Ovis aries: one gene and its partner. The protein of the gene in region 2 interacts with the protein of the main gene of each other region in a pairwise test. Links are inferred from orthologs where the notes say so. Each region holds a gene or a part of one and is shown on either strand. Other genes may lie near its edges.

Region 1 (4,336 bases), on a different chromosome or scaffold from region 2:
GTAGTCAACAAGTCCTAGTCAACAAGAGTTGTCCCTCGTAGTCAACAACAGTCAGAAATGCAGTACTTGGATGCAACCTCAAAAATGACAGAATGGTCTCAATTTATTTCCAAGGCAAACCATTCAACAACACAGTAATCCAAGTCTATGCCCCAACCACTGATGCCAAAGAAACTAAAGCTGACCACTTCTATGAAGCCCTATAACACCTTCCAGAACCAACACCAAAAAAAGATTTCCTTTTCATCACAGGGGATTGGAATGCAAAAGTAGGAAGTCAAGAGATATCTAGAATAACAGGCAAGTTTGGCTTTGGGGTGCAAAATGAAGCAGGCAAAGGCTTACAGGGTTTTGTCAAAAGAACATTCTGATCATATCAAACACCCTTTTCTGACAATACAAGAGATGACTCTACACATGGATATCACCCACCAGATGGTCAATATCAAAATTAGATTATGTTTGCAGCTGACTGTGGCTCAGAAAATGAGCTCTTTACTGCAAAATTCAGGCTTAAATTGAAAAAAGTAGGGAAAACCACTAGGCCATTCACTGAAAAAAGAGTGTTAGTTACTCAGTCCCATCTGACCCTTTGCTACCCCATGGACTATACAGCCTGCTAGGCTCCTATGTCCATGCGATTTCCCAGGTAATGAAAGTGGGAGGGGGTAGCCATTCCCTTCTCCGGGGGATTGTCCTTACCCAGGGGTCGAATCTGGATCCCTGCAAGTCTGGCGGATTCTTTACCCGCTGCGCCCTTAGGGATGCCAACACTCAGCAAATTCTGGGAAGAAGGGAGGGAAGGATTGTATGCACCTAGTCAAATTAAAGCAGTTTGATGCCCACCCCCGCAAAATACAACCATCATGGGATTACTCTAGCCCAGGCTCCATCCTCTCTACCTGTGGAGGGGCGAGGATCAGAGGTCATCTTCAGACCTGGCCTTCAGAGAAGGGGGCCCCGTCCGAAGGAGGGCCAGGGTCTCTCCCAAGAGAACTCCGAAAGGCTAGAGGAGAGGAAAGCCCCAGTCTCGGGGCGGGGGAGTGCAGTGAGGCCATGGACACCAAGTTACAAGCCCGCCTCTCCACCACCCGCGTGCAGACTCGGCCCGCCCTCTTCCAAGGCGCCCCGCCCCTCTTGGCCGTCTGTCCCGCCCCTCTTGGCCGTCAGCCGCGCCCCTGCAGGGCGTCCCGACCCCGAGGGGTGTGCCCCGCCCTCCACAGCTCCTCGCCCCAGCCCTCTTGGCCGTCTGCCCCGCCCCTGCACGGCGTCCCGCCCCCAAGGCTGTTTGCCCCGCCCCTCACGGCGCCGCTCCCCGCCCCTCCTGGCCGTCTGCCCCGCCCCTCCACGGAGCCGAGCCCCGCCTCCTGCGCGGCGTTTGGGCGCCGTGTCGGCTCGCGGTGCATGTCGGGGCCGTCGCCGGGGACAGCCAGGACCCCAACCGTCCCATGGCTGAGCGGAGCGGCCGCGGCGGCGGGACGCGCGGGGCCTCCGCGCTTCCGAGCCCCGACTACTACGAGCAGGTGGCCCACCTCCAGCAAGGGCTGCGGGACAGGTACGGCCTAGCTGGGGCGGGGGCGGGGAGTCGGCCGGCCCCGGGATCCATGGGAGCCCCGCCCCCGACCACGGTTCCCCTGGGCCGGAGTCCAGACCAGCCCTGTCCCCCGAACTCCCCAAGGACTGAGTTTACCGGAGACACTGCCCCCACTCCGTGGGAGGTCCCCCGCGGGAATGTCCCTGGATGCTCCCAGAAGTGAGAGCCGGAGTCTCCTGCCTGTCACTCTCAATCAAAGCGTGTGAGTTTCTCTGGTCCCCTTCCACACGCCCCCTTCCCAGCCCTTCAGGTTGTCATCCAGTCCTGACAGCTGCACCCCCTCGGTGATGACAGGCCCAGGAACGCAGGCGGGAGAGTATGTGTGTGTGTGTGTGTGTGTTTGTCAAACATGCGCCCTGTTTAAATGCACGAGACTTTTTACAGGGCCAAATTTCCAGCGGGAGATGTCCCGACTTTAAGATGGTTCGTGATACGTTGCTTAAGACATGAAAAGATGAGAATCACTGAAAACCGCTTGATCACTGTAAAGAAAGAAAATTACACAGCAATTTACTATAAATATCTACATAAAAGATTAGTTGTTGAAGCTATTATTTAGCTGCTAAGTTAATCGGAGTTGGAAATCTCATTAGTCGACAAGAAAGGAAATAGAATTTTGGATCTCTTGATAAATAGCACCTTTAATGAGTGTTTAAAAGTTACAGAGTCATTTTACTGAAGAGGGGTGCTGCGCACTGTGATGATTCTGAAATGACAATAGTTACATGTAAGGTAAAGGCAGAAGTTACTGGTTTTGAAAAGGAATTGTATTCATCCTATGCTAAATTTAATTCCTGTCATATTATTTATAGAGCATCTGCAACAGGCCTCCTTAATCTTCCTCACCTTTTAATTTATTATTATTTATTTTGTTTAACTCTCAATCCTTTTCTACATCCTGTTTTCTTTCTGACATACCACTGCCCACCTACCCAGCCACTCACCTCTCCTCCAACTTAAAAAAAAAAAAATCACTTCTTATAGTGCCTTCCCTGTGCCAAGTGTGAATCAACCAATTCCTGACTTATGCACATTCTTCAAAACTTCTAGGTAATGCATCAAGTGACTCGTATCCTGCCTACTCTGAGAATTCCAGGAGGACAGGAGCCATATAGAGCTGGACCTTCAGCTCATGTTAGAGTACCTGAAATGGCAGAGGGACTGGCTACATGTTTATTGAATGAGTAGAAATGTCAACCAGCTAGTGTCCAGGAGTTGTGAATGTTATGTAGAACTGAGTAGCCACTCATTTACCACTAAATAGTGACCATTTTCCGGTCAATCAGGAAAACTGGCATCATGATATTTCAAAAATGGTATTAAATGCACACACCTGATAATTAAGAGACAAAACATTGCTCTGTGCATCATACACTTAAAGGGCTCATTGTTAAGAGTGGCTTCCTTACCCCAGGCCTTGAGTTATTTGTATCTCTTAACCCATGTTCTAATTTTATTTTTATTTTATTTTAATTTTTTGGTCTTACCATGTGGTCCGGACCAGGGATCAAACCCACAACCCCTGCATTAGAAGTGCAGAGTCTTAACCATTGGACCACCAGGGAAGTCCCCCTTAACCCAGGTTCTAATTTTAAAATGTTACTAGTTTGAATGATACCATTAAAACAAAAATGAAGTTAATTGTGAGTTATCATTTTTGTTTCCTGTGCTCAGAACACCTGGCCGTTTATAGTCCTTATGGTATGATAACTGTGTAACGATTATTATTCACTTTATGTTTAATACTTAATGGTTGCACTGTTAAGCAAGGTGAGGCTGTTGAAATTATATAAGGAATCTGAGTCATGCTTTATAGCCTATTCACGGTTCTGCCTTTGGAGGTTTTTTTTCATTTTTGAGTCAGTACAAATCTGTTACTGTGGGTATTCATTTTTCATTTTAAAAGTCCCTAACTAACTCTAATGCATAGGTAATAAACGCAGAGGCAAATAACTTTGGAGGCAGAGAAAACTGCAGGAAAAATGTAGAAACCAAGGTTCTAGTCCATGAATAGTTATGTGACCTTGAGCTGGTCATTCAGCTTCTCTGACCTGTTCATCACCAGAGATAGGGGCTTTGAGGTAAAGTAAGGCCGGAGATTTTTTTTGTTTGTTTAGTAGAGCAGTGAGATTCTGTTTTGTCTAACAGGAGCAAAAGATATTAAGAAGAGGTGGCAACAATACACAGAAGAACTATACAAAAAAGATCTTCATGATCCAGATAATCACAATGGTGTGATCACCAACCTAGAGCCAGACATCCTGGAATGCAGAGTCAAGTGGGCCTTAGGGAGTATCACTACGAAAAGCGAGTAGAGGTGATGGAATTCCAGTTGAGCTATTTCAAATCCTAAAAGATAATGCTGTAGAAGTGCTGCACTCAATATGCCAGCAAATTTGGAAAACTCAGCAGTGGCCACAGGACTGGAAAAGGTCGGTTTTCATTCCAGTCCCAAAGAAAGGCAATACCAAAGAATGATCAAACTACCGCACAATTGCACTCATCTCACACTCTAGTGAAGTAATGCTCAAAATTCTCCAAGCCAGGTTTCAGCAGTACGTGAACTGTGAACTTCCATGTGTTCAAGCTGGATTTAGAAAAGGCAGAGGAACCAGAGATCAAATTGCCAACATCAGTTGGATCATCGAAAAAGCAAGAGTTCCAGAAAAACATCTGCTTTATTGACTATGCCAAAGCCTTTGACTGTGTGGATCACAACAAACTGTGGAAAATTCTTCAAGA
Region 2 (3,802 bases):
GCCCTGGGGGTGCAGACTCTGAGCCTTTCCTCCGTCAGGAGCGTTGAATGTCTGGCAGGGCTCTGCAGGGAGACCCCCTGCTGTGGAGACCCCTTGCCCTTGAGTTTCCACGCACGGCGTCTTCCTGGGTCTCAGGAGACTGGGGGCTTCCAGCCAGGAGGGGGGCAGCTGGGAACTGCCGGTCATGACACCCCCCACCCCTGTGAGCGTCCCACTGCGGGGCCGGCAGCCCTCACTGGGACACAGCCGACCCCTGCCGCGGCTGCCTTTCTTCCACGAAGGCACTGGTCTGCGAGACCTGTGGTTGATGCAGACAGCGTCCACCCCAGCACCACGTGGCTGGCCAGGGGGACTGGGGGACTGGGGGACTGGGGCCCGCTCAGCCGACACCCAGGAGGTGCTGGTGGCTGGCCGGGCAGCTGCGAGGTGCGGGCAGGGACGGAGAGAAGGCATCGAAGGGACAGCGGCTGTGGTCAGATCAGCCAGAAACTGCCCCTTTAATGAAGGCCAGGACAGCTCTATTGCTTAGATTTAAGAGAAACTTTATTTAGTTTTTTCCGAAAGCAACCTAGTTTAAAAACAAACTGAAATAAGAATCGACGTCAGTAGAGAAGGAAAACCTAGACAGACAGACACACACACAGAGGGAAGACAGCAAGGTCAGGGCTGCCGGGTCAGATTCTCTTCATCTTGGAGATGAGGTCATCACAGATCCTGGTCAGCTCATCATTCTCCTTAGTCTGAAGAGGAGAGTTGCGCCCCTGGGTTTCCCGCAGTGCCTGGAGCCTGGCGCCCCCGAGCCTTCCCGAGCTGCGAGGGCTGCCCACCCCCGCCCCTGCTGGCCTAGGGACCCTGCACCCACCTTCTGCTCCACCACCTTCTCCAGGGAGTGGACACGCATCTGCTCTTTCCTCAGGACCGCCTGCAGCGCCAGAGCGTCCGTCTGGGCCTTGCTGCGCACCTGGGCGATCTCCTCGCTTGCCCTGGAGCAGCAGAGGGCCTGGCTGAGCCGCAGGCGGGCCAGACGCCCCTAGGCTCCTGCTCGCCCGCGTCCCCGAGCCCCGCGCCCCCATCCTGACCCCACCGAGCACCGCCTCCCCACGCACTGCTGGAGCTTCTCCTCCGCCTGGGCCTTCAGCGCCTGGTACTTCTGGGCCTCCTTCTCCACCCTCTCTATGTAATCCTCGACACACTTCTTCAGAGACTCTTCATTCTGGGAGGAAGATGGACGCTGAGCCCTGAGCCGAGGCCCAGCTCTTTGGGGGTTCGTGGAGCAGCCGTAGAAAAGGCCACGTGGGAGCAGCCCGCCTGTTTCCCTGCAGACAGCCCAGGCCTCCCTGACCCCCACCCGGGACCCTGCCCGCCCCTCAGGGCCCTGCCACGGGGGCTCTGTCCAGGCACTGTGGGGGAACCTGGGTCAGGCACCAGGCCCTGGAACAGCCTGTCTCGTTCCCCGAGCCCCGGGCTCTGGGGGCTGGGTGCCCTGCCGCGTGGCGGTGGGGACAGCGCAGCAACCAGCACAGGCCCGCAGTCTCCGCGAAGGCCCACACGGACGCCTCGAGGGCACCGTGTCCTGTTGCAGGTGACAAGCCAAGAGCCCAGGGTGCAGGCAGAGGCAGGGCTGAGCCGGGCCCCACCTGCGGGCCTGCCTCTCGCTTCTTGCCAGGCTCCGCACCGGGGCTATGCTCAGCCCCTCCTCCTGCAGGGCCCCCGCCCCTCCCCGGGCCCCAGGCTGGCCCAGCACCCACCGTGCGGTAGCCTTCGATCACCTCCTTCTGCTTCTCAAACCGCTTAAAGAGGTCGGAGAAAGACTTCTCCATAGAGTGCAGGTCGGCCGCCAGCTGCGCTTTCTCCTTCAGGACCTTCTGCATTTCGGCCTTGGCGAGCTCCTTCTGTTTCTGAGATTCCTCTGGAGGAGAGACCAGCACCTCGGATTGGCGGGCGGCAGGGTGTCTGCCTCTCTCGGGACCTCCCAGGGCGGACCCTTAGGGCTCCAAATGCCCAGAAAACAGCTGTCTCCTTAACACCAGCTCCGCCCAGAAACCAAGGCAGCTGGCAGTGAGCCCAGGCCTGTCCCACACTCGGGGCTTCCAGCCTGGACACGGCTAGTGCCCAATGTCCACGGAGGTTGCCGGGGGACGCACAGCCCCCAGGGCAGGGTGGACACTGCAGCGTCAGGGAAGGGACCCAACCTGCCCGCTGTGTTGCCACCCCCACCCCTGATGCAGGGGGCAGGGGGCAGGGGCAGGGGGCAGGGGGCAGGGGGCAGGGGGCAGGGGGCGGCACTCACCCATCACCTGGTAGACAGTCCCCTCAAAGCTGTCCATGATCTTCCTGTGGGAGGAGAGTGGAGGGGTGGGAGGAGAGTGGAGGGGTGGGAGGAGAGTGGAGGGGTGGGAGGAGAGTGGAGGGGTGGGAGGAGAGTGGAGGGGTGGGAGGAGAGTGGAGGGGTGGGAGGAGAGTGGAGGGGTGGGAGGAGAGTGGAGGGGTGGAGGGGTGGAGGGGAGGGGTGGAGGGGGGCGCCGCGCCGCGCCCCGCGCCCCGCGCCCCGCGCCCCGCGCCGCGCCCCGCGCCCGCGCCGCGCCCCGCGCCGCGCCGCGCCCGCGCCGCGCCCCGCGCCCGCGCCCGCGCCGCCGCCCTCACCCCATCTCCAGGAGCCTCTCCTGCAGCGCCGCGCACTTGCCCCGCAGCACCTCGTTCTCCTTCTGCGTGGCCTCCACCTGCGTGGTCACACGCCCGCGTTGGCCCAGGGCCGCTCCCCGCGCTGACGTCTCCCGCCCCACTTGGTGGACGTCCTGCGCGGGGACGCTTCCCAGCACGGGAGGGGCGGGGGGGGGGCGGGGCAGCCTGAGGCGGGTGGGAGGTGCTGGGCGCCGCAGGGTCCAGCCCAGGCCTCCACCACCTTAGACATCAACCCGGCCTCGTCCCCTCACCAGTGAGGAGGCTGGGGGGCGCTCTCCCGGGACGGCGCAGACCCTCATGCTACGGGTTCCATGACACACGTGGGGGCGGAAACAGGACGCCCAGCTGCCGGACCACCCGGTTCTGGCGCAGCGAGTGGAGCCTGTGATGCTGCCCACCCCCGCCCCGCCCGCATGCTCACCGCCAAGTCCAGGTCCTTCTGGCTGTACTGCAGCACGTCCACGATCGGCCCCACCGGCAGCAGTGGAGCCCCGGGTCCGAGGCCACACGGAGGCGGGCCAGGCATCTGCGGGAGAGACCGGCAGGGCCGTGAGCTCCCCTGCGTGGCCCTCCACCCCCCGGTTCCCCACAGCACAGCGCGGCCAGAGGCAGTGCGTCGGCCCCCACCCACCCCGTGAGGCCGGGTCCTTAGTATACACCTGTCTCTAAAGCAGAGGAGAGGAGGCACTTACAGGGACGCCAGGGGCTCCTGGGAAGTCCAGGTCGAGCAGCTGGGCCTCCGGAGGGCTTCCAGAGGGAGGCGCGTCCACACTGTGAGCACAGAGACCGGGAGAGAAGCTGCCCGCCGTCTGCATGAGCCCGGGGCACTCCTCGGAGGTCAGAAGGCCCGTGCTCGGGACAGGTGGGCCCCGCGGCCCGTCAGGCTGCCCGCCGCTGCTGTGGGCACACAGGAGCACGCCTGCTCACCAAATGGGCCCCCAGGCGGGCCCAGCCCCCGCCCCTGCCTGCCCCTGCCACCAGTGGGGCGTACCTGCTGGGTGCCAGCCTCCGGGGACTGTCCTGCAGGAGCGGGTCGAAGTTAAGGTACAGTGACTGCTTCCTCAGGGCTGACTCTTTAAACTAAGAGGGGGGGCAGGGTCAGCAGTCTCCCCAGTGTGCC

Evidence for each region.
Region 1: the proteins of TACC3 (region 2) and KIZ interact in binary tests that used the Homo sapiens proteins (3 or more experiments, as listed by UniProt). The two-hybrid records come from large-scale screens. The link is inferred for Ovis aries from reciprocal best matches to the Homo sapiens genes TACC3 and KIZ.

Annotation. Positions count from the first base shown.
Region 1 is NC_056066.1:40,043,355-40,047,690, forward strand, and holds the start of KIZ (centrosomal protein kizuna), read left to right. Parts: upstream 1-1,397; 5' UTR 1,398-1,448; coding exon 1,449-1,555; exon of another isoform or gene 1,556-1,731; coding exon of another isoform or gene 1,732-1,796; intron 1,797-3,742; exon of another isoform or gene 3,743-4,336. UniProt on the Homo sapiens protein: Centrosomal protein required for establishing a robust mitotic centrosome architecture that can endure the forces that converge on the centrosomes during spindle formation. Required for stabilizing the expanded pericentriolar material around the centriole.
Region 2 is NC_056059.1:117,511,023-117,514,824, forward strand, and holds the end of TACC3 (transforming acidic coiled-coil-containing protein 3), read right to left. Parts: intron 3,763-3,802; coding exon 3,674-3,762; intron 3,580-3,673; coding exon 3,375-3,579; intron 3,209-3,374; coding exon 3,104-3,208; intron 2,721-3,103; coding exon 2,644-2,720; intron 2,335-2,643; coding exon 2,291-2,334; intron 1,910-2,290; coding exon 1,749-1,909; intron 1,214-1,748; coding exon 1,107-1,213; intron 984-1,106; coding exon 719-983; coding exon of another isoform or gene 675-718; 3' UTR 526-674; downstream 1-525. UniProt on the Homo sapiens protein: Plays a role in the microtubule-dependent coupling of the nucleus and the centrosome. Involved in the processes that regulate centrosome-mediated interkinetic nuclear migration (INM) of neural progenitors.